4 linked regions of the Alligator mississippiensis genome follow. The main gene of each other region encodes a partner of the protein of the gene in region 4 in a complex. Links are inferred from orthologs where the notes say so. Each region holds a gene or a part of one and is shown on either strand. Other genes may lie near its edges.

Region 1 (7,041 bases), on a different chromosome or scaffold from region 4:
TCCTTTAAGAAAAAACAAATCGAAGATCAAAAATAATATTTTACAACATACCTTAGGTGTGAGGTCAGATCGTTCTTGAAGCTTATAAGTTTTCGAGAAAAGTAGTCTTATTATCCATAGGATGAGAATTCCTTCCAGAATGAGGTGGTAAGCCGGAGCCTACACATAAAAAAATAATGTTTATATAATATTAACTTGGAATAGGTTATGCTAGTAATAGCTGCATTCTCTTTGTAAGCTGCCGTAAGCCTCTGTTAGAAAGGGCAGCACATAAAAGAACAATAGCAACACTGACTTAACTATTTTGTATTAGCAAGTTATGTTGTGAACAATTATGTTTAAACAAAATTTATACCTACTCCATGTAACCATTTCCAAAGTCTTTTACAGTTTTCTATGAAAAAGAAATGAAGGAAATGGAAAGTAACACACACACAGAAGCAAAGGAAGTAATCATCCACAGCTATTATACCCCTACAAAGATTGCAGTAAGGGCTTCTGTATTGCATGTTACATCACAATGATGCAAATTAACATTTGAAGAACATTACTTATTTCAACCATGAAGCTAAGCTGTATATTACAATACAGCATATTAGAGCTGTGCAAAGCCATTATTTGATTTGGCAGAGATTCGGCCCAGTCTGGTGGCCTAATCTCCAAATCGAATCAAAGGACCATTTACTCTCTCCAAATCTAATCAAAACTCTCCAAATTGATTTGGAGAGATTTGAAGATTTGGACATAGACACAGCTTTAAATGTTTTTTCTACGTACCTCAAGGTACCAGGCGGCTCTTGAATGCCGTGATGCTGGGGTGCATGGATTGTTCCACAGAAGCACAGGGGGGTCCCCAGCGCACTCGGCAGGAGACCCGGAAGTGGACCAGGTCCACTGAGGAGCATGCAGAGGGCTACCCCCACGCCCGCCCTGGCTCAGCGACTGGTGCCTCCTGGGCCGGGGGACACCCAGGGTCTCCCTATGACCAATCACCAAGCCAAGGAAGCACGGGGTCCCCCCCTACGCACTCCCCAGAGGACCCGGAAGTGGACTGGAAATACTTCCGGTCCACTTCTGGGTTCACTGCTGAGCACGTGGAGGGCCCCCACCCCCGCATTCCTGCAGGACTTTCCAGGTGCCCCAGCATCACAGCATTCACCAGCCATGCTGGTACCTCGAGGTATGCAGAAAAAACATTTAAAGCTGTGTCTATATCCAAATCGCTGATTCTCTGAATCAGCATTGAATCTTCAGATTCAGATTTGGCCGAATTGAATTGGGGACAGTGATCTGAATCAACGAATTGAAACACGGTCCCTGATTTGGGCCGAATCTGAACTGAATAGGGCCTGCTTTGCACACACTTACAGCATATATATATCTGAGCTAGTTCAGCTACTGTTCTCAGGATAGTTACTGCAGCACAGAACTGTGCAAGTGAACTTGCCTTACTTCTTAACAGCTGAGAGACTACAGATTCAAACTGGCAAGGAAATATGAACAGAAAAAATTAAAAGGGAAGCTCCCCCTCCTATCAGCTAAGTGACATGACACTTCCTAGGAATCCAAGTGTATTTTGTACACACGTTTTGCCACCAGTTATTCTGCAACTGCAATCTTCCTCTAACCTGAAGTCATCAGAATAAGACTTAAAATCACAGAGGTAAATACATTTTTTTTTTCATGGATTGTGCAGGGAGGAGGTTCCAAAGTCAAAAAAATTTAAAGCATCTCAGTGCTTCACTTAAAGAGAACTTGCTTTGAAAATTGCCAGCTGCAAGTAAAAACATGTCCATGTCGACCTTCTGATACAAACTGTATATTCCTGCTTCTTATTAAATGGTCTTAAAGAGCCTTTCAGAAATAACCAAGACAGAAATGAGGGAGCAGCGTTCAACACTAATTAAAATAAGAGGCGCCATTGTTGCTGCTTCTCTAGGGAGAAGTTCTCACTTCATAGCCAGTAGGGAAGGTAAGAGTCCATCCTCAGAAAGCAAGTTAGCTGCATCCCTACTCCACAAGGGATCAGAGCCCAGAGGTAACAACCTCCTCAGCCTGTTTCTGAACCCTGGGCCTGTGCCTCCCACTGAAAAAAACAACCTTGTTTCTCCAATGGACATAAAATTGCAGGAAAGGAATTCCCCACCAACAATAACCCTGCACCCAGATCCACTCCCCCCAGACACCAGCACCCAGCCCCATCTCTGCAGACAACAGCATTCAGATGCATCCCCCCCAGTTAGCACCCAAATCCACCCCTGCCCAGGGGCCAGCATCCAGATCCACCCCCCACCCCTGGTACCAACACCCAGATCTATGCCCACCACATGCCAGCACCCAGCTCCCCCCCCTCCCGGTGCCAGCACCCAGACGCATGCCCCCCCAGACACAGGCACCCAGATCCATTCTCCCCAGATGCCGGGACCCAGATCCATCCCCTGGTGTGCCAGCACCCAGAGGCACCCCCGCCCACTTTGGGATGCTGGCACCCAGCTCCATTTCCCCCATGGGCCAGCACCCAACTGCATCCCGCAAAAGATGCTAGCACCCAGCTGCTCCCCCCCCGGTGACAGCATGCAGCACGCCCCCCTCCCCCGATGGTGGCACTAGGAGGGTCTGGTCCCCCCCAGGTGCCCGCACCCAGATCCATTTTTCCCCAGGTGCCAGCACCTATATACATTCCCCCCTCGGTGCCAGCACTCAGATCCAGCTGCCCCAGACGCTAGCACCCACTTCTACTGCCCCCCAGACCCCAGCACCCCGATGCCCTCCCCACGAGATGCCCGCACGCGGACCCACCGGGCAACCCCAAGCAACGCCGCTCCCGCTCCCGCCCCCGCCCCCGCCCCAGACGAGTGCGTGAGGGGAGGGGGGCCGACGCCACGTGCCCCGGGCGGAGGGGTCGCTCACCTCGTAGAACGCCTGCACCATCTCCACCAGCACCCACTGCTGCCCCATCGCCGCCGCCATCCCGCTTCCGGGGCCACTTCCTTCCCTCGTCAGTGCGCCGGCGCCGAGCCAGCGCGCATGCGCACAGCGCGGCAGGCGGAGGAAGGGGAGGGTGGGACCGGAACCCGGGGCCACGCCCCCTCCCCGCCCAAGTGGGAGGTGCCATTGTCCGGAGGCGACGGAAGGCTCAGGCCGGGGTAAGCGGGTGTTGATCTGGGATGCTTCCAACGGTCCCCGTGGCGGGGCAGCGCAGCCTAGTCGGCCGGTTCCGTGTGCTGCTCCTTCCCTGCCGCCGCCCTCAAGCTCCTGCTAAACCTCACCTACATAGCGTAGCTAGCTGCTCAGTCGCGCAATAACTGTGTTTATTTTACCCCTGCAAAGCCCTCGTCACCCCTTCAGCGGCTCTTTTGGTTGGGCTAGGGTGGGTTTTTTTATTTATCCTTTGCCCATTGCTTTGCACCTGTGGCCGGTCTAAATGTACTGCCTGGTTCCCCAGTCACGTGATAAATGTAATGTGTGGTCGGTATTACGCAAGTCACAGGTTCATCACGGGATAAGTTTAAAGCAGCCACGGGTGCAAAAGTAATTGTCACAGGATAAAATGGCTAGCCCAGCCCCCCAAATGCACTGGTTAATCGTGATCGATTCAAAAGCAGGTACGTTGTGGAAGAGGCAGATGGCTGCAAGGACCTGGAGTTGGGAGGAGATGGCAAAGAGCATCTCCTGCCAGCTGTGAAGGGATTCACCTGGCAGGTTATTAACTTTCAACAGGGTCAGCTGCTCATAACCAGCAGAGGTGACATGTAGGGCATGTACCGTTTGATGGCCGCACTCCCTGCTTAGGCGACAGGCAGGCAAGAGCGCCGGTGCCCCCCCCATCCCCGCAAGTGTCCGCTGGGGAGTAGGAGCACTGGATGAAGCGCCGCAGTCACTTCTGGGAGCACCGCGGCTGCCTCCCAAGTGGTGCAGTTGGCTGCGGGGGGACTCCCCTCCCCCCCATAGGTGAGATCGGACATGGCCCGGTCCCCACCCCCCTCTGGTCACTGACTGGTCACTGGGGGGGAGGCAGATGCCCCCCCTGACTCAGGTGGCACCAGTTGCCAATGATAACCAGCAAAATGCACCTTGCCATAAGAACTGTTTAGAAAAAAAGGGGGGGGAAAAAACAACTAGGGTTGGATTCTGGGTGCAGACAAGTAATAATTTTTGCCTGATCTGATGCCAGAAAACAGTTTATAGCTGTGGCCAAACACAAGTGCGCAGCTGCAGACGGCTTCCAGTGAAAATCTGACCCCTCATTGCATGAGGAAAACAGTGACAGGCTGGGAGGCAGGGCAGACAAGTTACAAAAGATGATGCATTTTGAAACATCTTTATCTGATACCTCATTCAATGGGGAGGGTCAGATTTTCACCTGAAGCTGTCTGCAGCCATGCACTCGTGTTTGGCAGAGAGCCCTGGCGGTTACTGTGGGAACTTGGCTGCAGGCCCCCACTGGAACCAATAGTGAACTTCTGTTTGGTCTGGGGTAGGGGTAGCGCTATAACTCAAAATGCTTTGCAAAACTCGTTCCGAGTTACAGCTCACAGCTGCGCTTCTGTCTGCAGCCTCTAATATTAACTGAACCAGTTTAAATTTGCACTTTGCTAAGCAACTGGCATACAGGAAGGAGACGTGGCATAAGACTCTGTAGTAGTCTGTCCAACTTCTCTTCAAACTTGCCAAGATAAAGCACAAATCTGCAGTGACCGAGAGGAGGAGTGAACTTAATCTGTAGACCCTATGATTGAGTTCAATTGAAAGTTTGGCATTCAGCCAAGCAGATGCTGGCATTGAGCACAAAGATGTCCTAACTCTACTCAAAGATGTCCTAACTCTGTTGGGAGGTTACTTTTGGCATACAGCCAACATTTCCATAATAATAGTAGAAGGACACTTGTTTGCAAAGAATGAATGAGTCTTAAGAAATAAATATAATCTCAAATTTCACAACTCTACTGATAGCAGGAAGAGTGACTTACTGTTCAGATCATTTAAATGGGCTGAAGACTAAATCTAATATAATCTGAAACTCTGCTACTACACATTACTTTTGTTAAGCAAGGATTATCCCTAACCTTGAATAAAGTAGCTTTGGGCAAACGCTGGTGGCCAAAAGCTGCCCTAACCAGGCAACTGAGGGTCTGACTAACCACTCAGCTTCCTCAGGAACAGGGAGTAGATTGCAAGGAGGAGGCATACTGGTCAGCATATGCTGCCTAGTAGCAGTGGCTCACCTGCATAATTGCTTCTTTGGTAGTGATAGACTGGCATAAACTACAGCAACCCTGACATTATTGTAACTTCATGATTTTGTGGAGAGGAGGGCTCAACTGAGTGCTTGGGATGTTGAGTCCTATTGTATGTAGCCAACTTGGTTCCCTGTTCAGGGTATGCACTGAGAGTTAGATCTGCAAAGGGATATGTGTGTCACCACTTATTTTTTAAATATTGGTCCCTGGAACAGTCAACACCACTGGGTTAGTATTGCAGCTTACTATATGGTGCATGTGGGGAGGAAGGTGTTTCAATAGAATTTGCAACAGTCAGCATGCCAAGGGGGTAGCAAGCCAGTAGGAAATGCTTGAGAAAGAGAGAGGTGTCTTAAATCCCAAGCCTCTCTGGTGTTTGGGCAACTATGTCAGGTTGGGATTTGCAACCTGGAACAATCTCTTGGAGTTGGACACCTAAATTGTCCACTTTAGAAGTGAATGACTGCTCACCCACTAGACAGCAATTATACTCGCCCAGAAATTGTGAGGTCTGGATCCTAGGCTCTTAGTCTGAGGGTATTCAAATCTACACAGTTCACCTCCCAGGAGAGAGTCCTAAGAACCAGGCTATAGGTTAATCAGGTTGGGAACACTCTAAGCTTTAGCTGAAGCTGTGTTACTGTGTGGCAAAGATTTCTAGATGTGTGGGGCCAGGAAGGAGTCACGGAGGATCTCTGTAGCCTCATGTTTAGGAGTGGCTGAGATGGGGTCTGGCCCCTGCTCCCTGAAATATTTCCATATTTTATCCAGTGACTGACTATAAAATGCATGAACCATTGTGGCAGCGGAAACCAGGATCTAGGACTCGTGCCTTAAATAGGTAAATGTTCTAACAACAACCTTTTCAAAATGCAAAATTAGGACATCGAGCCTCCCCGCTCCATCCACACTGCCCTTCTGTACCGGGTCTCACCCACTGGGGGAGGGCAGCAGGATGGGGAGCCCCAAGCCCGCAGCAGGATGGGGAGCCCCAAGCCCACAGCAGGCAGCCTGCATCTGCCTGTGCCACACACACACATCAGATGTGGGGCACAAGCTCTCCTATGCCCCCTGCCCTGGGAGTGTATGAAGCGGTGGAGAGTCAGCCCCCACACTGCCCTCCAGATGAGTCACCTATGGCTCTGTCCTGCTCCCTGGCCAGGACCTGCAGCTACACATTCCTGCCCTGGTCCTATGCCCCATGCACCACCCCAGCTGGGTAGAGCTCCCAGTCCCAGCCACCAACCCTGCCCCTCCCTCCCTAACCTTGGGGGCCTCAAGCTGCCCCCATTGCCACATCACCTATGCCCCGTCCCTCCATAGACTTACCTGAAGGCAGCTGGGGGAACTGCTCTCCACTGCTACCTGGATGAATTGCTGGACATGAGCATGTGTACATACACACACATGCATGTCGCATCCCCTGTGTCCCACTCCCCCCCAGCCCCAAGCAGCCCCCTGCAGGCTGAAACTCTGCCAACCTGCAAGGGGAAACCTTCAGAGGAGAAAATCCACTTTTTTCCATGGCAAACAGAAAACCCAGATCCATGCTTACGATACTGGGATGATAGTTGCTATGTTGAGATTGTGTTGAGGGGAGTCTGGAACAAATGCTGTCTTGGGAGTCATTCAGCCTGGGACCAGGACTTGATGTTTACATTTCGGGACTGTCCCGCCTAATTAAGGATGGGTGGTCACCCTACAGGTAACAGAGACACAATCCCCTCTCTATGCCAATGAATCTTTCACATTTTGCTGCACTGCTTCAACAAGAGGGGTGGATAGTCCTCCCACTCAAACT
Region 2 (7,374 bases), on a different chromosome or scaffold from region 4:
GAGGCAGAAAGGAGAGAGCTGCCGGTTGGAGTCACCTTTGCATGCTTTTCGGTTGCAGCTGTAACTTTTGCCACTTCCTTGTGGCACAGGCAAGACGTGGCCCTGGGTCACAAAAAAGCAGCGAGAACCCATTTACCTTTTGCATTTATTGTTGTTCAGGGACTCAAGTAGGGTGGAACAGAACCACACTAGGGTGTCTAAGCCCCCACCATAGATACAGTTCTGCAGATAGAGAAGGGCTTTGTTGGAGGCAGTGTAGCTAAATCAGCTGAAAGCTCCTTTTTGTCAGCATATGCTACATCTTCATGGTGGAGTTCTGTTGATTAGCTACAGTAACAGAAGCTCTGTACTACAGAAAAGTAGTAGGTAACTTGAGCACTCCCACACCCACTATTCATTCATGAATAGTCAAGCAGAGAAGTGTGGGTGTTTTGTTTCTGGTTTTGGTTCAGTTTCTGCTCTACCCTCCTCTCTGTCCGTTAATTTCCCCTCCATTTAAAGTGTTTTTCCATTTAAGGAAGATATTTGCTAGGGACAATACACTGAAATCTGTGAGGTGCTCAATTAATACACTGATGTGGTAATGTAAATATTATAGATAGATGGGCAGATAAAGCCGGAGTGGAAGCCACTCCATGTGTGGAGGACAAATATCTGGAAAAAGAGATAGAACAAAAATAACAAATCATGTACTGGGTTGGGGTAGGTGAGAGTGAAGAGGCAGACCAGACAGGAAAGGGCAGATTCCTAGCAGAAACAAGAATGAGCTCTCACCTGTTTTTGTTCCTTTCCCTTCCAATCTGTGCTTCAAGCAAGAAGTGAAGGAAGGAGATTGGGATTGTGAATAGAGCACCAGACTGAGAATCAGGAGACCTGCACACTTACAAGTTCAGTGATGACCTCGGAATAAAAAATTCAACCATTCATTTCCAGTTTACACTGAGGATGATGCTTTCCTATCTCTGAGTGTTACAAGATCTAAGCGTTCTGTAATATAATGTGTCTGTACCACAAAAGAAAAATAAAGTCTCCTTTTATTCCACAACGATTTGTGGATGGATCAGTTAACTATCCCTTCAAGGCCATTCCCACCCCCTCCAGCACAAGCCTATATTTTTTTTTTTTGTGTACTGTCAAATACACATTTCTCTATTTTTCTAGCTACAATCCTAATAGTAGCAACAGCAGCAGCAATAATAATAAATACATTGTTATTACTATATAATCTTTTTCTCTCCTCTGAAATTACTACTGTCACAAGTTTTCATTCTTTTCCCAGTAGGTTAACTATTTCAGGTTGATAAAATAGAAACTGGAATATTGGTGATTGGTCCTAAAAGTATACATTTCAGGATAAACAGCATGACTTTTAATATCCAAAGTGATGACTGTGATTTCAGATATGGTTCCTGGGAGCATGATATGACTTTTCCTTCATTGCACAAGCTTTCTTGCCATCATCTTTCCACACATGGGCTGGGCCAGCAACTAGGAGCCACCCATGCTAGAGTCCTGAAGCCAGACAATCACTAACTAACCTTTGCATTGGGTGTGCCTTAATTAACAGGCTGAAAGCATGAGATTCCCATTAGGAGAAAAAGACTCAAGATGAGAGCTTATTTGTGATGCATCTGAGTCTGGCAATTGGAACAGGCATAGGCACTGTCTAAAGTTTTAGGACTAGACAATTTAAGTTAATAAACTGTCAGATAAGCATTCAAACACAAGCTAGTGTTGCTAGATGTTGTGGTTGAGGCGTGAAGCATCCAGCTTTAAAGGCAATCTTTTCCTGTTCCCAACTGAAGTGTTGGTTACATCAATTCATATGCATTCTCAAAGCCAGCACAGCTTGAATTTGAAGAGCCAAAAGATTTTTCCAATAGTAATGGGCTCTTCCATAGAGACAGCTTTTAATGTTCTATGCATAAAGATAATTTTCTGCTTGGAGTTCTCTTTTGCAAAAGAGCCGCTCTAGTTTTGGGGTTCTCTTTTGGGAAACTACAAACATCAAATGAGCTATAGTCAGGCATTTGGGTCAATGAGAGATGGCTTTCAAAGATGCAGGAAAAAAAAGAAACAGCTTGAGAGAATTTCCTGTAGACTAACTTATTTTTTAAAGAGCAGCTAACACTGTAACAACATGTAAATAAAAAGGACAGATTATTAAGCCTATAGAGCATGCCCCAGTAAACTAGACACTATGCCAACCTTATAACAAACAATAGAATCATCAGGTAAAAAAAGCATCTCCTTCCTATTTCTTGTTTTTTCTTACATTGCACTTAAACAGTAACACATCATAATAAAATAAAACTCCACATACACTTCAAGGATAAAACCCTTTTGCTTTAAGTTATTGATACATTTCTACAGTTCTGCCAACAGAAAGGCTTTAAACAATTTTCAGGTAAATGAGATATTTCTGTTTCTGATCTGAAGAACAGAATCTAGTTAGATCAATACTATTGCCTACACACCCAAATATCTTTTTTACTTCAACCAGAACTTTAGGGGTTAATAAGAATACAGGCTCATGCTGCACGTGTCAAGCTTAACATAAAGACAATACTGTAATATCCATTCAGTGACAATCCATTCCTTTAAATAAGTTTAAAACTGTTCATCTCAATGATTGGCAGACTTCAGGAAATTAAACCTTACCTTAATTTGTTTAGCAATTCCATTTTTCTTATAGATTCCACTTTTTAAGAGGTTATTCTGTTTCTGATGGTAATGTCCATTGCAGACAGCTTTGGGATTAGCCATTTGCTTAGTATGATCTTCAGTTCGTAAGTGCCTGAGGTCTTTCTACTTTAAAAAGGCAGTGGGATGAGAAGATAAAATCTCATGTGTTAAAGCCAGAAAGGTATCTAACTGGTTAGTCTGGCTTTTCCAGGAGAGGAGGGACTATCTTTCTGCAAGATCTTAGAAACTAAAAGAAACTGTTACCTTTATACACCTTCAGCCCTAGTGAGTTAGGAAGTCAAATACATGGTACTACTTTGCTTTTAAGAACTCCAAAATGCACTACTCCTGCTGGCTACTGTATACACATGGTATTTATGTGAGTCAACAAGACTGCTGCAGCTATCAAGGAAGTGGGTGGATTGAGAGGTGGAGACACTTAAAGATACACTGCCATCTAAATCCCTGTCTCTTGTAGATTACACTCAAAGAAGTGATAGATTATTCTCTGCTTGGAGTGGATTAGTAAAAGGTTGAAAATTAAAACAGTAAGGAAAGCTGTGCAATTCTAATGCTTCCTTAAATATGTGTGTTGGAAAAAGTAGTATTTGACTGTCGGGATAGGAGGCATGATTTTTTTAAAATTCCTAAATCAATATATTGATAGACACAGCATTAAGAATGTACAGAAAAGGGGCAGTAAGACTGTCTACAGGTAGATGATGAATTTTAAGAGTAATCTAGTCCTGGTTTCAGAAGTTAATTAGTATTAGAGTCTGGGGCTAGCAAAGAGTTTTTTGGCCCCAGTCCTGCACACACCTAAACACATGCTTAATTTGAATACTGTGAAAAATTCTTCTGAAATCAAAATGACACAGCAGTTAACAAATTCACAAGTGTATGGAGAGTGGGACTTCTGCTAACCTTTAGCATGACGATTAAGCCTTCAAAAGAAAACTATTATTATATTTTCATCATCAAGATACCTTGAATCAAGTCTTTCATTTTTAGTGAGACAAACTTTTATTACAGTTGGTCTATGGCTTTTCTTTTAGGAGAGAGGGCTTAATTGCTTGAGCTTTGCCAATAATAGGATATAACAAACTGCTATGCATTTGAATTTACTGAAGTAAAAAAAAAGTCTTGTAAAAGTTAGGTCCAATTAGAGCAGGAATGTTAAAGATCCAGTCTGCAGAGCTGTTTCATCCAGTTTGCAAGGCTCCTGAAAGGGCTGGGATTTCAGGACTGGAGACTGTTGCCAAGGTGCCGAATTCCTGAATATAGAGCCCTGTTGGAGATGTGTTGGCAGCAGCGAGGGAAAGAGAGAGGGAAGTGATGGCCTGTTAACCTCCATGCTGCTACTGCTTGTCTGCTGTTGCCACCATTTCTGAATCCAGATTGGGGGAACAGCCCAGTTTGACACTCCTGATTAAGGCTATAAGCTTATTTTAAATTTAACCCCAAATCACTTACATGTAGGCCTAAATGGCATTAGTTTCATGTGTACTCACAGGGCTGGGGCTCATTGACCTGAATGGGAATAACTGTAGGCTTAAAATTAAGCGTGTTTTTGCAGGATAAGGGCCTTATAGTTTAGATGTTCAGAATATACAATCGACATTTGGTTGTATGAGATGGGATGAGAATATACACACACAAGTGAGTGTATATTCCAATAAAAACACTCTATACAAGGGGTTAGATTAAAAGAAAATCTGAGTTACAAAGATAATTAAAGACTGAAGGCTAATCAGTAGAGGTCTTTGAAGTGTTTAAGCAGAAAAAGTTAAAAATAGAATAAGAACTTGCTATCCGATCTCAGCAGCATGATGTAAGTTACAATTCGGAAAACACAGTTCCGCCTGAGAATGCAAAGCAAACACAGGCAATAAAGATCAAATTAACCAGACTGTAAATCTGCTGTAGACCAGTTTTCACCAGGCTGACTTCTCTTGATTATTTGCTAAAATGCTAAACCATATTTCCTCTTTCTAGGTAGCTTACAAAGGAAAATAATCATGAAACAAGGGTTTTGAAATCTTTTATTTCATCATAATACATAAGGAAAGCCTCAATGGTACTGGTTTTATTTTGTCCTTTTAACTATCAGGAATATCAAACCATATTTTCTGATTCCTTGGAAGGATCCAATTTTGTATTGGGACTTTTTGTAACTAAGTGGAATGATGAGGATCAGTGTGGAATCATTAACAAAGAAACCTTTTCTCCCTAAAGTCACTTGTTTAGATTGACAATTGCTACTTGTAAGCCCCTAATTCTAGCCTTCAAACTCACTTCCTTGTTTCAATTAGGTAGATTTCACTTCTGTGATACATCAGAATCCTACTAGCTAGCTATCCAACTGATCATATAGTTCACAGTAGGTCACTAATCAGTACAAAAATAGCACTCCTTCAGGGTCTGTGTTATATCACAAAGTAGCAAATATCTAAGCCACCCTCCCTCCTGCAGAAGTATGATTTTTTCTTTACAAGCAACCTTTTACCTACTTCCCCAGCACTAGTAGGACAGTAAAAACCTTTCTTACAGAAAAAACCCATAGCCGAATGATGTAATACTTATAATAAGTGTTATTAGAACTTATTAGGAAATGTAATCACACAGTGAGTCAGAAATACAGTTCAGTTCCTGGTTTTTGCCTCACAATACTGAACAACACTGCCTCATTTCAATCTTTTGTATTGTCTTCATCAGGCCAGTCAAACAGGTATCTTTAGTGTTTGTTAATAGGGTAATTGTTAGTGTGCGAGGATGGGATGATTGAGTTTAGTTACAGTAAGTGGCTGAGAGTTGGATATTTGGAAGGAAGAGTGATTAAGGATAAAAGTTTAGTAATAGCCTATAGTTTCCTTGCAAATGCATCACTGGTAGTATCCTACATAAATGAGTGCTATGACAAGTTGACAAGAATTAAATACACCTGTTCTTCCTGTGCCAAGCAAACCCTCGCACAAGTCATTCTGTGCATCCATTCCTACCAGCAAACTAGTGTCCTGACAAAGTTGCTTCATAAGAGGTACCAGCAAACATAGACCTCTGTTGTATGACTGACCTAAGAAAATATGCTGTCCTTGGGCACTGTTTAGAGCCAAAAACAAACTCTTCTGCTGTTTCTGAGCTTGCATTTGGGCCAGAATATTCTATATTTTCACTATTGTATCTGAGACACCTTCCATTAGGTGACATGATAGATGTCATGTGTCCCCAAGACCCACCTCAAGAAGGTGGACGCTGAGATCCGGTGGCTGCTGAAGAAGTGGCTGCACCTGCCGCTGAGGGCCAGCAACGAGATCATGCACATCCCCTACTGGCAGGGAGGTGCCAATGCCCCCCACCATGGGAGACCTCTGCGACATTGCAGTGGTCACCCACGCCTTCTGCCTCCTGACCTGCCGGACCCTACGTTAAGTATCACCACCAGCACCCTCAAGGAGACCGCCTATAAGAGGATCGTGAGACACTCGACTGGACATGACTTGGCCACCTTCCTCAGTGGCTTGCTAGAGGGTGAGTTCGGCAGAGATGGTGGGGACTTTGCCTTGCTGTGGAGCCGAGCCTGCAACACCAGGTGCTGCCTCAGAAAGTGCATCGGCTGCACCTGGACCTGGACCGAGGAGTGCTGGGAGCTGTGAGTCTCCCTTGAACCAGCCCCGCATGCCGACCATGTTACCATGATGCCCCACATGAGGACCTTCCTGGAGCAGTTCCTGAAGGATGCCATCCGAAACAAGTATGCCGGTGACCTGAGGGCCAAACCTGACCAGGGCAAGGTCTTCGACATCACCTCGAAGTGGGACTCCAGCAACCACTTCATACCCAGCAGGAGCTTCACACACTTCGTGGACTGGTGTTTCTTCCATTGTGCCCGCCTCAACTGCCTGCCTCTGAACGGGGCTGTCCGCTTTGGCCACCAGGACAAGAGGTGCCAATGGTGTGGCTATGCGGCAGACACCCTCCCCCATATGCTGTGCGGCTGCAGGCTAGCCTGGCGGCTCTGCCACAACGCTGTCCAGGACTGCCTGATGACGCCTATCCCAGCCGCAGTGGGAGAGATCTCCGTGAACCGCACCATCCCAGGCTGCGAGAGCCAGATACGCCCTGACATTGTGATCACCAAGGAAGAGGCCAAGAAGGTTGTGATCATGGATGTGACCATCCCCTTCGAGAACCAGTGCCAAATCTTCACCAATGCCCAGGCTCGCAAGTGGGAGAAGTACGCCTCTCTGGCCAACATCCTGAGGGGCCGCAGCTATGATGTGACAGTCGACGCACTCAGCGTGGGAACGCTTGAAGCCTGGGACCCCAGCAACGAGAGCGTCCTGCATGCCTGCCGCATCTCCTGCCACTATGCCAAGCTGATGCGCTGCCTCATGGTGTCTGACACAATCTGCTGGTCCCGCGACATCTACGTGGAGCACATCACGGGCCACTGTTAGTACTCTGACTCCACCAGACCGACTGCCGCCGGACTGGACCCAGAGGGGACCACCTGAAGCCCCCTCTGCACCTGATGGACTTCACTTTGAGAGGACTCTTCAGCAATGGATCACCCCGCTCCACCTGAAGAAGACCCCTGCGATGAGACTCTATATGGACTGAGACACTTGCTTCGACCTACTTCTTCCACCATTGCGGACCATTATATGGATTTGTGTGTATCTATTTTTC
Region 3 (7,510 bases), about 7.1 Mb from region 4:
TAGGGGAAAAATTGTTGGGTTGCAGCTGAACCTGAATCATTATTTCAAACAGGTCTCAGCTTTGCAAAATGCCATCAAGTACACCCACCCACTTCTAACAGGTAAAACATCAGAGATTTTTCTTCCCATTGCAGTAAAACATGGGCAGAAAGACTGTGCTTGAGTCAGCAAGTTTTAAATGACAATTTTGCAAAGCTGAAATAACCAGTGGGATTTTGTTCTGTTTTTAGTACAGAGCACCACTGAATAACAAGTATTCCAGTTAGAATTCTTCAGCTTAATTATTTCATTCCAAAGTGTGCCTTTAGGAAAATGGCATACTAAAAGTTTTTACTGATTATATATACCAAGAAGCTTACCATTTTCCCCTCCTTCAGCATAATATCCACTTAAAGAAAATCAAGTAAAGGGAACTTCATGCCTTTCACAAACCCCAAGCCAAGCAAACCATAGAAGGGAACACAAGGCTGTATTGTTTAGCATCCTATGATTCTTTCTGCATGTCTTGATAGCAACAGAAGTCTGGAGTCACCCTTACATAATGAAGCCGATGCAATTCTGATATTGTAAAATAAAGATTCCTTCTGGAATAAAACAATTTGGAAAAGTACATCCAATACATTTTACTTCCTCTGGCACTGTTAACTGCCAGGAATACCCTGAACAGCAGTTCTGAACAACACTTGCCTAAATTAAAGGGATACATTTCTCCCAACTCTACCTCATTAACTTCAGGCCACAAAAACCCCTCCCAAAAGCATTACCCAAGTGTCCCAAAATACAGACTGTGCCATCCCCTTTAAAACACCCTCAAAAATGAACTACTGAATAGGACAAGCAAGCATACGCACGCACACATTTTTAAAATCATACAACATTCTTTATACTGCTGCAGCACAGTGAGGCCTCCTTATGCTAGGTACCATACACGTCAAATCAAAACTTCATAAGCTAAAACAAACAAAACCCATAAAGAAAGCACAGAAGGGAAGCTGGGGAAGAAAGGGACACCCAGCTCCTAATTCAGGCCTGAGGGGCTGTGAGTTGCTAGGCTGGCAACTCTAGATGGGCAAAGTGCCTGCCATTACCATGATCATTTCTCACATCACCTCCACACCTTTCCCCAAAACTTCCCCATTTAATTAGTCTTATATAAACTTATTTTTGTAGACACGCTAGCAAAGTGTTCGGTCATGCTTTATCCTTGAATGTAGAGATGTAGTCCCACAAGTCACAGTGCTAAAGCAAAGATTCTCAACCAGGATGCCAGGGCACTGCAAGGTCCCACTAGGTCCTTTCAATGGTACCATGAAGTGTGGGGAGATATGCAGGTAAGCTAAGCAGATAAGCCAAGTTCAGGCTTGTCCCTGCCTGGATGATGCCCTGCACTTATTGCCCAGGCCCTGTATAAGGAGGCAAGAACTGAAATATGAATAATTAGTTTTTGAAGTTGGATGCCATTCAATTCACAAGAGTTCTGGAGGGGTACCTGGAATCCAATAAGGCTGAGAACCACTGTGGCTAAGGCATCACAAAGCAGAAACAATTATTTTCAGCTATCGTTTTCTCTAGCTTCCCTTACTTTTCCTTTCTACCGAAAGCAAAAGGCCCATAAGTTCCTAATTCATTTCTCAGTCCATTTCACCAATTTGCACTTTAAATCAGCAACTTCACTTAGCTGATGCTGACAAATCCTTTGCTTTCTGTTCCAAAATCACTACATGACTGCTGATCACTGTTAAGCAATTCCTACATTCTCCCCCAGCTACAGCTGCATTCGGAGGAAAGATGACAGTTGCCAGGTACATAATTAAATCTCATCCCTTAACAAGAAAAGACACTCCACGTATTCCCACACTAAAGTAATGACAGTCCTTCCTCCTGGTTGATGCTGGTCAGCATGGTAATCACAGATTCCCTCCTGCAAGACAGGTACGCTGGGGCTGGGGAGGACGTCACCAGAACACATCAGAACCACTGCACAAGATGTGCCAGTTGATGCCTCTTGCTTCCCGCAGAAGGCTGTGAGAAGCTCAATCTGCCTGAAAAGAGGAGTTCTTCTCACATCCATCTTAACCCTCCAGCTCTCTACTCGCTGCCACACTTGGTACTTTAACCTTAGCATAAGAACCGCACCAGTAGCCAACAGGACTCTCTGCTACAGCCACGAAGTCCCAGTGACACCTGGACAGGCACTGGCTCTAGCCAGCTGACACGGTCCTCACAAGGCAGTGGTGCTGCCTAGCGCAGGGGGCACCTGGGGACAACCTGATGTACCCGGTGGTGCCCGCAATACCAACACCAGGGCAACAAGGCAAACAGACACTGCACTGGAAGGACTCATGGCTTTCCTCCTCCACGGCCCCGGTGCCAACCCAACGGTGGGGGGGAGCTGGCACAGCCTCCCACTGAGGCCAAACCCGGGGCTGCAACAGACGCCCACGTGCGCCTGCCCCAGCCCGGCCCGGGTGCCCCGAGGCGGGGGAGGAGACGGGCCGCAGGGCTCCAGCAGGCGAGGGCTTGGCCCTATCTCAGCGACGCCCCCGGGGCCTGGCCCGACCTGATCATGTCGGTATGAAGGGGGAAGGAGGGAGGGAGGCCCACTCCCGACCGGGAGCGCGGGGCCTCGTGGCACCAGCCCAAGCCAAGCTGCCCGCGCCCCGGCGCGGACCCCTGCCCCGCGCACCTGTGTGCCAGCCACAACGGGCAGGCCGCGCACGTAGCCGTTGCGCAGCGCCCCGTGCGCCGCGACGCTGCAGCCGTTAGCGCGCGCCTCGCCGCCAGCCCGCTCCATCCTCGCGCCGCCGCCGCCGCTGCAGCTGCCGCCCCGCACCGGAAGCCCTACCCGAGCGCGCCGCCAATCGCGAGCGGCAACGTCACCACGGGCGTGACCGCTGCCCCCGAAACCCTGAAAGTGTCGGCGGCGCCCAGAGCGAGGCGGTGGCGCCTCAGGCCCGCCGCCCAATGAGATTACGGTGTCCCAGGCCGAGGGAGGGCGAGTCATCGATGAGGCACGCCCAATCCCGAGGCAGAAAGCCGGCGGGAGGGGCCCAATCATCTGGTTGGGAACCGACTGGGTGGAGATGATGGCCTACCCAGTCGCAAGGCGAAGGCGTAGGGGTGGGCGGGATGCGAAAGACGCTTTGGCCAGTGACAACAGAAAGGACGAGGAAGGATCCGGAGCCCAAAATAAATGCTAGCCAATGACAAGGCCGAGAGGCAGCGGTGGGCGGGTTCGGCAGCCGGGCGTGAGCCGGGTGCGCTCTGAACCGCTGTGGGCGCGGGACTGCTCGAGGCTTGTAGCGCCCCCTGTCGGGCGGGCCGACAGAGAAGCGGGGCGGGAGTGGGGAAGGGGGGCGCGGGGGCCGGCTCATCCTGGCCACCGCCTGCTCCTGGGGCCTGGCAAACCCGCATGAGCCATGGGGCCCCATGACTGAAGGGGAGTTCCGCGGGCCGGGGCAAGGTGGATTCTCCATGGCTCACCACGCTGAAGTTGGTTCCTTGTTTCCGGTTTTGGTTCGTTTTGCAAAGTTAAATCTTTACACAATGAAAAGTTGTTAGTAATTAATTGCACCTGCTACAGTTAGGATTTCATCAAAAATGTGTATTTACTAATAACTTTATACAATTGTAGCCCAGGCGGTACTCCATAAGGTACCCCTCTCCAATTGAAAGGATCAAAGCAGGTGCACAAGTGCTGTGGGAGGTGTAGGGACTCTCCTTTCCCTATAGAGCAGAGCCAGACCACCACTGGGGACTTAACCATATACCTTTTAATGAGAGAACAATACTGGGAACATAACAGGCATAATCAGCGGGTAGAGTGGACACTACAATGCCCCAAGGGGGCAGTATTCAACAAAGGTTAGACACTTACAATCATTGATAAAAAGTCAGGTTTAACAAAATATAAAACAAACAGAGCAAACAATACTGGTTGGGGAAATATAAAAAGGCACAAAATACAAAATGTCAAAGGACCAAGAAATATAGGGCCTAGGTACCTGGAAAGGGAGAAAATGGAAAACACAATGGCCCCTTTCCATTGCAAGAGGAATTTTTCCTTGGTAGGTCATTCACCCCAAGTCACCAAAACTGAGAGTTGAACTTGGATCTCCTATGTGGTAGGCACAAACACTTGCCACACAGCTACCAGTACTAGGACTATTTCAAGCTGCTAGGGGCCTTGACCTTCCTGGAGCCCTGGCCTCACATTGAGCAGCCTGATCTCTGATTGGAGGAGCTGGAAGCTGAGCTGAGAACCCCTCAGGTCGCTGCTCAGATTCTTGCTGAAGCGGGAAGCCTCTCCTGCTGGCCACAGCCTCTTGTAGGGGATCCTGGAGCCCAACAGGAAGCTTCTCCTGCCAGTCACACGCCATGCTGCTAAGGGTCCAACTACTGCCTGCTTCTACCCCTCTGGCTCAGCTTTTTGAAGCTCCTTCCTCATGGTCCCTCACTCGTCTCTTGCCTGAGTCAGCTGTGCTGCCCCTTTTATCCCCCTCCAGGTGACCCAAGGGGCCAATCAGGGGACATGAGGGGTGAGTCTCTGGGGCCTGATTGGTGAGGAAAGGGAATCCCAAATCTTCCAATCATCTTTTACCCCTTCAAAACCCCTGGGCCAAATCATTACCAGATTGGTGAGGAAAGGGAATCCCAAATCCTCCAATCATCTTTTGCCTTTTCAAAACCCCTGGGCTAGGTCACTGCCAGCCAGCTCGACACACAATAATATCATGTTTCAAATCCATAGCCCTGGAAAAAAAACCTGGGATTAGGCTGGGATTATGAGGCAAAATCCTTTTCAATTCACCCCAAACCACACACCTCTGCAATCAGGGGCTCTCCTAAAGGAGCCTGGGCCCCGTCCTGCCCAACCCAAAGCTTGGTTTCTGTGTGGCAGGCTGGCAACTCACAAAGATTCATAGACATTAGGGCTGGAAGGGACCTCGCAAGATCATCAGGTCCAGCCCCCTGCCCAAGGGCCAGAAAGTCAGCTGGGGTCAAAGGATCCCAGCAAAATAGACATCCAAGTGCTTCTTGAAAGTGTCCAGAGTAGGTGCTTGCACCACCTCTGGGGGAAGTCTGTTCCAGGCCCAGGGGGCTTGGACAGTAAACAAGTTTTCCTTATGTCCAGTCTAAAACGGTCTTCCAGCAGTTTGTGACCATTAGACCTTGTCTTCCCGTGAGGTGCCCTGGTGAACAGACGTTCTCCCAGTTCCTGATGCACACCCCTTATATACTTATAGGCTGCCACCAAGTCATCCCTGAGCCTGCGCTTCTTCAGGCAGAAAAGTCCCACGTCCCTCAGGCTCTCCTCATAAGGCCTGCTCTCTTGTCCTCTAACCATGTGTGTGGCTCTCCTCTGGACCCTTTTCAAGCTTCTCATGGCCTCTCAGGCCTGAATTAAGAGCTGGGTTTGGGTTGGGAAAACCAGTGGAAATACTTTTCCAGTTACCCCAGGTGACATGTATCTGCCATCCCCACTGGCTGTGCTCCTTCCCTCGCTGCCGTTGGTGGGGTGAGCCATCTCCTCTCTCACATTCCTCAGGCAGGAAGTCAAACACAGAGAAGCTGCAATGAAAGCAGGGAATGTCTGTGTTCAGCATCTGTGTTGAGAAGGACCAGGATAGCTGCTCAGAAAATGTGCGGGCAAGAGGTGTGGTGGGGGAGGGAACACAGCAGAGTTCTGAGCCCCCTTCCAGATGAAGAGAATGTGAGAGATGGGACAGCAGCTGAAAGGAGGCATCTTTTATAGAAACCAAAGGGTTAATGAAGAAATTAATGTCAAATTGAAGAGAAGAGTGGGTCAGTCACTGAAATGTCTATGTAAGAGAGAAATAGTGCACCGTGTATGGGAGAAAATAGCCCTGGGGTTTGGCTAGGGACTCACAATAGTAAAGCTCTGCAGGCCAACCACACTGCTAGATAGGGTGGAACCAGACATTGCTTTCGTGCCCTTGTAAGACAGCCCGGGGCTCCTTGTTCCTTTAAGATAAAAGCAGTCCAGTCAGGCAGCTGTGGCAGCAAGTGCAGGTTGCTGCGCCAACAGACCAGGGAGGCAATTACTAGGCACCTGCAGGCAGCCTGCTGACCAGAAGTAGGCTGGGCCCTGGGAGCATATAAGCCTGGGGCTTGGGCTGGCAACATAGTCTAACCTTGGCTGCAGGGTTAGGAGCTGCCCAGGGGTGAGAGGCTGCCTGTGGGAACACAGAGGCTCAGGGAGTGCACAGGGAGCACAGGCCGGGAGGTATGCCAATGCAAGGGGTGAAGGAAGGTTTGCCCTCTTAAAGGGGCAGAGGGCTGCTTTCACTACTTTTGTTTGTTATAGCTAGAGGTCTACTGAATTCATGGCAGAAGTGGGGTGCACTGTGGCTCCTTTAATCTTGCAGGTTCCCCCATACCTTTCCCCCCTACTGATTGGTGGAGGGGCCCCACTTGTGGCTCACTTCTGATCAGCAGGGACCCTGATTTTCCGCAATAAAAAAATCACAAATTCTCTGATAAAAATCACAAAATCCATGGTTAAAATGAAATGCCCCCCACAGCCCTGTTGGTGTCCCTCACTGCCCTCGGCCCACAGCCCTCCAGTCCTGCTTGTGCCCCTTGTCCCCCACCTGCAGCCCCTGCCCCCCAGCTCTGCCCCCAAAGGAAGGCAGCAGCTGCTACAGCAGGAGCACAAGCCAGTTCCCCCCCTGCTGCCTTCCTGCTGCAGGCCTGGGCGGGGTAAACTCCCCCTGGCAGTGTGCACTCCTGGGGGGCTGGGGGGACCTGTGCACTCCTGGGGAGCTGGGGGGCTGGGGGGACCTCTGGGCGGGGGAAGGGTCGGTGCAGGCTTCAGGCTCATGCTTCCCACTCTGCTGCCCTCCCCCAGGCCCTCCAGAGCTCAGTGTGTGCAACCCGGTGCAACAGCACACGGGGGGGGGATGTGCATGAAAGCTGCCTGCTGCTGCAAGCTCCATTTTGCCCTGGTCATACTTCCTCTGCAGACGGGGGCAGCAGTGAGGGACACAATCCTGTGCTGTCCCCATGCACACAGAGAAAGTGTGGCCAGGGCAGTGTGGAGCTTGCAGTGGCAAGCAGCTTTCGTGCATGGCCCTGCTGTGCCCTGCTGCGCTAGTCGCACATGCTGTGCTCTGGAGGGCCTGCAGGAGGGCAGCAGAGTGGGGAGTGCAGCATTTGCAACCCAGGGTTTGCAGCTGGCCATGCACTCCAGATGAGGGATGAGGGAGAGGGGGAGGGGGCTTGCAGTCTTCCTGCTCCTGGCTGGAGTGCCTGGCCAGCTGCAAACTGCCTCCTCTGGCCAGAGAGTGCCCAAGCTGGCTGGGGGCTGAGGAGCAGGGGAGGCTGCAAACCCCACCCCTCCTCCTGGCCAGAGTGCCTGGCCGGCTGCAAACCTCCTCATTCCCTCAGCCAGCTTGGGTACTCTCCAGCCAGGCACTCTGGCTGGGGGGGGGGGGGGTTGCAGCTGGCCAGGAGTGGAAGAGGTTTGCAGCCAGCCAAGCACTCCAGC
Region 4 (7,103 bases):
GGGGAGCAGGATTTACTTAGCTATATTCCTTTCCTGATAACCTTTTCTGGTCCCTTTGGGTTGACTGACTGATGGGGAAACACTGCCTTATCTATGCTATGCTATATACATGAGAAAAATCATTTGCAGCTGTAGCAGAAGGGAGTATTACTTGGCAATAGTGTTGATTATTGTGCACTGAATCAGCTTCTATTGGATAGTTCACTTACTTTTGTGGTTTTTAATTATATTTTAACTAGGAGCTGTACCAGAACTATACACAGATGTTGCAGGCTATATTGGCTTCCCTGTTGCAAACCTGACAAATAATTGCATGAACAGTGTATGGTTTTGTGGTATGTTCTCTAGTCCACTGGCACTTTCATATGCTTACATATCAGGCCTTATGTTGCCCAGTATATTCTCACAGTCATTTACCTGGTTCATTTATTATCTGATTTGATTTGATTTATATGCCACTCTTCCCAACAAAGACTCAACCTGTTTACAATAAGAGGACAAAATTAATTATAAAGCAGGAGAATAAGCAAGAGAACAACATAACTTAAAAGACAAACTGGACCATTAAGATAAATCAGAACTGCTCTAACCAATATCCTAGCCTACCTCTGTCTGTTAAACACTTGCCCAAATAGAAAGGTCTTACAGCACCTTCTGAAAGATGTTCAGGCTCAGGCTCTGGCATACCAAAAGATGGGGGGAGTTCCAGAGCTGAGGAGCACCTGCTGAGAATAACATGCCAAATGTTTTTGCCAAGCAGACTTGGTGCATTGATGGTACTTGTAGGAGTTTGTTCTCAGCTGACCTTGGAGATTGCAGTTAGGTGCATGGGCAGTCCCTTGGATATGTTTAGGGCCTTACAGGGCAAAACCAGCACCTTGAATTATACCTGGAAATCTATTGGGAGCCAGTGCAGACTGGATCACTGGAGTTACATGCTCATGGAAGCCCATCCCTGTTAGGTGGGCTATCACTGCATGAACTGCAACTTCCAGATAGTCTTAAAGGGTAGTCTTATGTAGAGTGTGTTGCAGTAGTCTAACCTCAAGGTTACAAAGGCATAGATGATGGTAGCCAGATCTGAATCTGAAAGAAAGAGCCACCGCTTTCTCACCAGATGGAGTTGGTAAAAGGTGCTTCTAGGCACTGCTGTCACCTGAAGTTCCAAATGCAGGAGAGGATCCAGAGTACCCTAGGGCTGCAAACATGAGTGACAACAGGAGACTATATCCCATCAATGATAGATGTCCCAATCCCCCCAAAATTGCATGGTCTGCCCAATACCATCACTTCTGTCTTGTTTGCATTCAGCTTCAGCTGGCTCACTTCATCCAGTCCCTAACTGCAACCATGCTTCATGAAAGGAGTGAGATTGCTGGGTTTCGCTCAGATGAAGTAGAGAGAGGCTTAGTAACAGAAATTCATAACTACTGGACACTACAAAGCATGACCTTAACACAATGGTTTCATAGCTCATTTTAATTTACTGGGTCTCTGCTAACTCCTCTGTACTTCACAGGTAATAACAACAGTCTTATTTTTTTTTTTTTTTTTTTTTACATATTCAGGTTAATCTATTTCAACTCTTTTTATTTGGTCTGTAACTACTTTTGATAACTTCTGTTTGCTTCACAGAGTAAATGCCAGTTCTGTTTGCTTCATAATGCCAGTTCCCTTTGCTCCCTTTTTCTTTTTTCAAGTGATAGCTTCATTTACATAATAGGGTTAAACAAAAGTAATTGCTCTGCCTGGTATTTAGCTTAGGCTGTATCTGTTTCTTATGTACCCGAGGAAGGGCATTTTGTGCCTGAAAATTGGTCTAACATCTTTTCTCACCTATGTATGTGGTCTAATAAAAGATATTACCAAACAAATCTTGCTTCTCTCATTTTTTTTTTACTACAAAAGTGTGCTTTCAAATTCACTAACAGCAGCCACATAGTTTGCCAGCCTTTCAAGCAGCAATAGCATAAGAGTCATCTCAAGCAGCAGTTACACTAAGACAGTTCGGGGAGAGAAAATGTTTATATTCCCTTCTCTTAAAAGTGTTGATGTTCTCTGGACATTGCTTAGCAGTCTTAATGACTGAATGAAAAAGTTGGGAGAGTTGTTTCCATTGCTTGAGAGTAATTATACAATCATTCTTTTCAGTGGATGGATGCTTTACTTGCTGGTCCTATGAAAGGCAGTGTGTTTATCACATGCATTACTGTAGTATGAATAGGCTCTGGTGCTGCTTCACTGGACTTGGCCTGGTGGGCCTTGGACTCTCAATTTTATCTTCTTGTTCATTAGCTGATAGGCATTCTTTAATCATATTCACTGCAGGCTGAGCATCCTCTTTAGCATCCACTGGACAAGTTTCTTTTGGGAACCTTTGCCTGGTATTTTTGACCCTCTACTGTTTCCTCAAGCACTGAAATAAATTTGCATGGGTGAACCGAGTCTTAACCATACGTGCTAGTATTCTGGTAGAATCTACCTCCTTTTCAGGTACTACCATATATGCTAATGTAGTATTCAGTTGTTCCTTTGTATTGGAAATCTATCTGCCAAACCTATTTTCCCTTCATGGTTAGGTCCTAGATCTGTACTCTTGTTTTTCTGAGATGCATGAATACTTGACTCTTACCTGTCTTTATTTGCTTGGATAGCTAGCACTGAAGGAGCTGCCATATTTTTTAAGCAAATCAATTGTGAGAAAAGATTATTGTTCAGTCAGGAAGTGTGGGGGTGGCATGTAGAATAACTGCAGATACAGGAGTATATGGAAAGCCTAGGCCAGGGGATTTAAGTACCTGGGCCAAGGAGCTGCCTTCTGGCCTCAAAGGTTTCCAGTATACTTTGTAATGTCTGATTAAATTGCTAATTTGGATGATATAAAATGAAGTAACACAAGACTACACAGATCTGACCCAGGGCAGATATTATATTCAAAGTTAGCACCATGTTCATGCTGCTTCCACCTTTAGTCGGATTAAAAAAAATCAGTGGAAGCTGCAGAAACATGCAGAGGAACCTAATCTGGGTGAGCCAACAGCAAGTCTTGGGGATTCTGCAATTGTAGTAGTCTCTGGTTCTTTAAGACCTTTCAAAAGAAGTGAAGTCTAATGTGTTATATAGTCTCTCTCCATCCTGTTGCAGAGTGGTACCTATGGTTTCAGGGCATTAATAAAACTATGAGGAGACCCATGGGTGACTGGTACCTGCGGGGGGTACCCGCAGGTGCCACTGTTGGCGGCAGAGGCAGAGCTGGCGAGCTCCCGCAGGCGCCGGCAGTGCCAGCCTGTAAGGGGGTGGGAGGGAAGGCACGTGCCTCGGTGCCGCCCCCCCACCCCGGTCTCCCCTATGCGTCACCTGAGACCTGTCAGTGTTTAGGAACCCATGAGGAAGGTGGGGGCCAATTTTAATATTGCTACAACTTGTACATCTTTATGGTACAGATGCAAGGGTCCCACTTAGAAACTGGCAAGGTGTTGTATATTGTATCTACCAGAACCTGCCCAATACTTATAGGGGAACCCCCTACTTGGCATGGACAGGAGAGCCCTTTACTGATGCTTAGGGATATTTTAGGGCAGTGATTCTCAACCTTTTCAGGCTTGAGGCACTTCACGGAAATTGCCACCTTAGTTTTCATGTGTTTTTGACTACAGGAAAGTGTTAGAACAAGTCTTCTGTTGCAAACACCTCAGACAGGCCAGAAGGCTTTGAACGCCATGGGTTACTATGTGAATTTTCTTTTTTTAAAGAAATTTTTCATGTTCCCAGCCAAATCAAGTCCAAATCCAGGATCCTCCCATTTCCATAAAGTGGGCTTTAACCCCAACACCCCGGCGGTACTGAAGAACAGTTATCCCGGGGCCGCTTAAGGAAAACTGCCTTCCTGCACCCAGATACGCAGTGTTTCCCCTGCCGGTTAAGTGCGGTATGTCCCGTGAATCCTGGGGCCAACCCGGGAAGTGCCCCTCTCCAGGCACCCTGGGTGACCACCTCTGCTCTGGGGCCACGTGCAATGCCGCGGGGCCGCGTGACTGCAGTGACCCCGCCCCCTGGGAGGGGCAGTGGGGGCGGGGCGCTGGCCGGGCCGGGAGGGTGGGGGCGGCGCAGTGGCAGCCGCACGCGCAGGAGGTCGGGCAGTCGGTGGAGGCGCCCGCGATGGCGCTGGGCTCGGCCTGGCAGCGCGTGTCGTGGCTCTACTACCAGTACCTGCTCGTCACGGCGCTCTACATGCTGGAGCCCTGGGAGCGCACCGTCTTCAGTATCCTCTGGCGGCGCGGCGCGCTGACTTTGGGGGGGGCGCTGCCTCGGCAGGCGCCGGGGCCGGGCCGGGCCGGGCCGGGCTGGAGGTGGGGAGGTGCGCGAGCTCCGAGTGGCAGGCGAGGGCGGCCCCAGCCCCGCCGCTGCCTCGGCCTGGGCGGGAGAGAGGCGCCTCGCGAGGCCCCGGGCCCTGGGCTCTGCCCGCCTGGCCCCGCAACACTGCCCGCCGGCCTCTGTCTCTCCCTCGGAGGCGGCGGGGTGGGGGGGCTGGCGGCTGTCCTCGCGAGCCCGGGTTTCCGGCTGGGATTTTGTTTTCTTTTGTCATCCTCTGCCTGACAGCGGCCCGGCGGCCTGGGTGCTGCCTACAGACGGGAGGGGAGGATGGGGGACTTGACCCGGTTGTGCTGCTGGGAGCAAAGCTGGAGGCTCCTGGCTGGAGGGTCTTGCCCCTCTGCTGGGGCCCGGACCATCCCCCATGTTTGGGGTCAGGAAGAAACAAGTGGGATGTTGGCTGGTGGCTCCCTTGCCTTACTGCAGCAGGTCGGGGTGTTGGGTTGGTTTGTGTTGTGTCGGGGTTGAGGGTAGTCTCGCATAGAGTTTACATCGTGGTTGTATGGGCTGCTTTGGCTAGGGTTGATCCTGCCTCAGGACCTAGATGACCTCTAGAGGTCCCTTGCAGCCCAACTTCTCTATGACTTATCTTTTATTGGGCCAGCTATGTGGCTGGGATAAAGTCAGGCAAGCTTTCTTATGGAAGACATTGTTTGTCAGGTCTTGGAATATGGGAAGGCAAGCACAGCAAGCTCCCTACAGCATAAGGGAGGGGCTGAGAGAAGTGTTTGGGGGTAGCAGCCCCACAAGGAGCAAAGGAAAAGCTGTTGATCTTCCAGTACTCTGGCTTTCTTTTGCTCACTGTGTGGCTGCTACCCTTGAGCATGTCTTAGCTGATCTCAGCCCCTCTCTTGTGCTGGTCTCAGCTTGCTGTGCTTGGCTTCCTGTATTCAGAGACCTGAGGAAGAATACCTTGCACTGGAAAGCTTGCCTGACTTTATCCCAACCACATAGCCCAATAAAAGATAAGTCATAGAGAAGTTGGGCTGCAGGGGACCCCCAGAGGTCATCTAGGGCCTGAGGCAGGATCAACCCTAGCCAAACCAGCCCAAAGAAATCGGTACCTCTCTCATGATTTTTGGACTAGTGTGGCTACAACATCACTCTTTATGCTGTCTTTGGTAAACTCACTGGTCTTGTGTAATTCACTGCAGTTACTCTGCTGGCATGATGATTACGTAGAGACCCGTGTTTTCATTTCTTCCTAGAGAGTGCTGTGCTATCTTCTTCAGGGCTTAGTCCAGAATTTTTATACAGAGGCAGTTAGGTGATCCTTTGTTAGAATAACACTTTATTATTACAAGTTGCTCTTTAATGACCTTTAAAAGCATTTGCGCTAAGTATTATTAAAAAAAGCAGGGAGGGGAGGAGAAAATGTCATCTTGTCACCCATAATCTTTCCTCTGTTGACTAATTGGATGTCTTTATTGGGATGACAGTCTACAAAAATGCTTCCTCTAGTTAAAAAAAACAAAACCAAACAAATGAAAAAAACAAACCCCCCCAAACAAACCAAAAAACAAAAAACAGGTTGCAGCTATATAACCACATTAAATCTAAAAAAATGGACCGCATATAGATAGACTTCAGACCATTAGATAGATTTTCTGTTAGGTTCACATACATCCACATGATGTCTGTTTCACTTGTTTGTTAAGTGGGAGCGTCCTTCTATTTCTGTAGAAGAAAATTGCTCACAAGATACTTTCAAGGACAGGGAAAACTGATTAGTTCACTATGAAAATGAAGCAACAAAGTAGACTGCATAGGAAGTGTGCAAAAGAGTACTATATCATTACAAGTGTTAGTGATGAAACATCTTTCTTTAGTAAGTATATGCACATCATACTTTGTCAGTAGCTGGGCTTGACTCTCTTCTTCTCTTTGTGATGCAAGCAAAATGTTTGAGCGAATGAAAAATATGTACATTTTCCTTATTCTTTGGACAAATATGTAGTAAACTTAAGTAACTTATTAAGATATTTATAGTTTAAAATTAATTTGACAAACACCTTCCATTGTTCTTACTGCAGTTATGTCATTGCTGCTTATTCTAGGTTGCAGTTGCCCATCACCTTTTGTTGCTTTAGCAATGACTGTAAACTTTCTTAGAGTGAGCAAGCTGCAGCTTGTTTAACATCTGGAGAAATGCAATTTCTAATGCTTAGAGTCTAACCTCATTTTAAAAAGGAAGAATGCCCATGGTACAGCAAATCTTCACATGAAACTTGGAAAAAATTTAGTTTGTGGTATTTTTCCAGTGGACATGAGGTGGTTTGGGGGAGAATACTATATTGGCCGCCATCCTTTTTCAGGCCTTGGTCTCTCTAATTACTTCAGTAAGGTGGCTGATTGTGATTTAGACCCCTTAGGACAGGTACTGCCTGACATTGTTAACTTACTTCATATAAGCTGTTGAATGACTGCCAGATGCATGTTGAGATTGACCTCAGCTGTGTCTAAACCAGTGTTCTAGAAATTTAAAAGCTCTTCAGGTGTTGAAATCTCTTCAGGTATTTAAATTAAGTTCCTAGACTTGCTACAAAAACCTTTTCCAAAGCTGAATATATCATTGATTGTCTAAGAGATCAGTAATTTTTATGAAGGCTGCATCTGGTCTGCTCGGAGAGAGTCTGTTGATACAGCAGAGCTGTTGTTTTATGTTCCCTTGTACTCTTAAGTCTTTCTCCATCACTTTGTTTTCCTGTAATGTATACTTCAAAAAGCTTAGT

Evidence for each region.
Region 1: SPTSSA (region 4) and SPTLC1 share a complex: the UniProt entries of both Homo sapiens proteins name them as parts of the serine palmitoyltransferase (SPT) complex. The link is inferred for Alligator mississippiensis from reciprocal best matches to the Homo sapiens genes SPTSSA and SPTLC1.
Region 2: SPTSSA (region 4) and SPTLC3 share a complex: the UniProt entries of both Homo sapiens proteins name them as parts of the serine palmitoyltransferase (SPT) complex. The link is inferred for Alligator mississippiensis from reciprocal best matches to the Homo sapiens genes SPTSSA and SPTLC3.
Region 3: the proteins of SPTSSA (region 4) and SPTLC2 are in contact, whole or in part, in a cryo-EM structure (PDB 7K0K), measured with the Homo sapiens proteins. The link is inferred for Alligator mississippiensis from reciprocal best matches to the Homo sapiens genes SPTSSA and SPTLC2. Residues at the interface, in NP_612145.2 of Homo sapiens: Trp15, Tyr18, Gln19, Leu21, Leu22, Val23, Thr24, Ala25, Tyr27, Met28, Leu29, Glu30, Pro31, Trp32, Glu33, Val36, Phe37; in NP_004854.1 of Homo sapiens: Leu73, Gly77, Val80, Leu81, Phe84, Leu87, Arg88, Leu91, Leu126, Arg129, Ile130, Tyr156, Met475, Pro476, Ala477, Lys478, Gly480, Ala481, Arg484, Glu485, Asp533, Leu534, Leu535, Gln536.

Annotation. Positions count from the first base shown.
Region 1 is NC_081826.1:213,094,614-213,101,654, forward strand, and holds the start of SPTLC1 (serine palmitoyltransferase 1), read right to left. Parts: upstream 3,021-7,041; 5' UTR 2,971-3,020; coding exon 2,911-2,970; intron 160-2,910; coding exon 52-159; intron 1-51. UniProt on the Homo sapiens protein: Component of the serine palmitoyltransferase multisubunit enzyme (SPT) that catalyzes the initial and rate-limiting step in sphingolipid biosynthesis by condensing L-serine and activated acyl-CoA (most commonly palmitoyl-CoA) to form long-chain bases.
Region 2 is NC_081824.1:221,269,848-221,277,221, forward strand, and holds the start of SPTLC3 (serine palmitoyltransferase 3), read right to left. Parts: upstream 3,011-7,374; 5' UTR 2,767-3,010; coding exon 2,662-2,766; intron 1-2,661. UniProt on the Homo sapiens protein: Component of the serine palmitoyltransferase multisubunit enzyme (SPT) that catalyzes the initial and rate-limiting step in sphingolipid biosynthesis by condensing L-serine and activated acyl-CoA (most commonly palmitoyl-CoA) to form long-chain bases.
Region 3 is NC_081825.1:263,321,068-263,328,577, forward strand, and holds the start of SPTLC2 (serine palmitoyltransferase 2), read right to left. Parts: upstream 3,020-7,510; 5' UTR 3,005-3,019; coding exon 2,846-3,004; intron 2,837-2,845; exon of another isoform or gene 2,795-2,836; coding exon of another isoform or gene 2,687-2,794; intron 1-2,686. UniProt on the Homo sapiens protein: Component of the serine palmitoyltransferase multisubunit enzyme (SPT) that catalyzes the initial and rate-limiting step in sphingolipid biosynthesis by condensing L-serine and activated acyl-CoA (most commonly palmitoyl-CoA) to form long-chain bases.
Region 4 is NC_081825.1:256,230,162-256,237,264, reverse strand, and holds the start of SPTSSA (serine palmitoyltransferase small subunit A), read left to right. Parts: upstream 1-4,101; 5' UTR 4,102-4,158; coding exon 4,159-4,261; intron 4,262-7,103. UniProt on the Homo sapiens protein: Component of the serine palmitoyltransferase multisubunit enzyme (SPT) that catalyzes the initial and rate-limiting step in sphingolipid biosynthesis by condensing L-serine and activated acyl-CoA (most commonly palmitoyl-CoA) to form long-chain bases.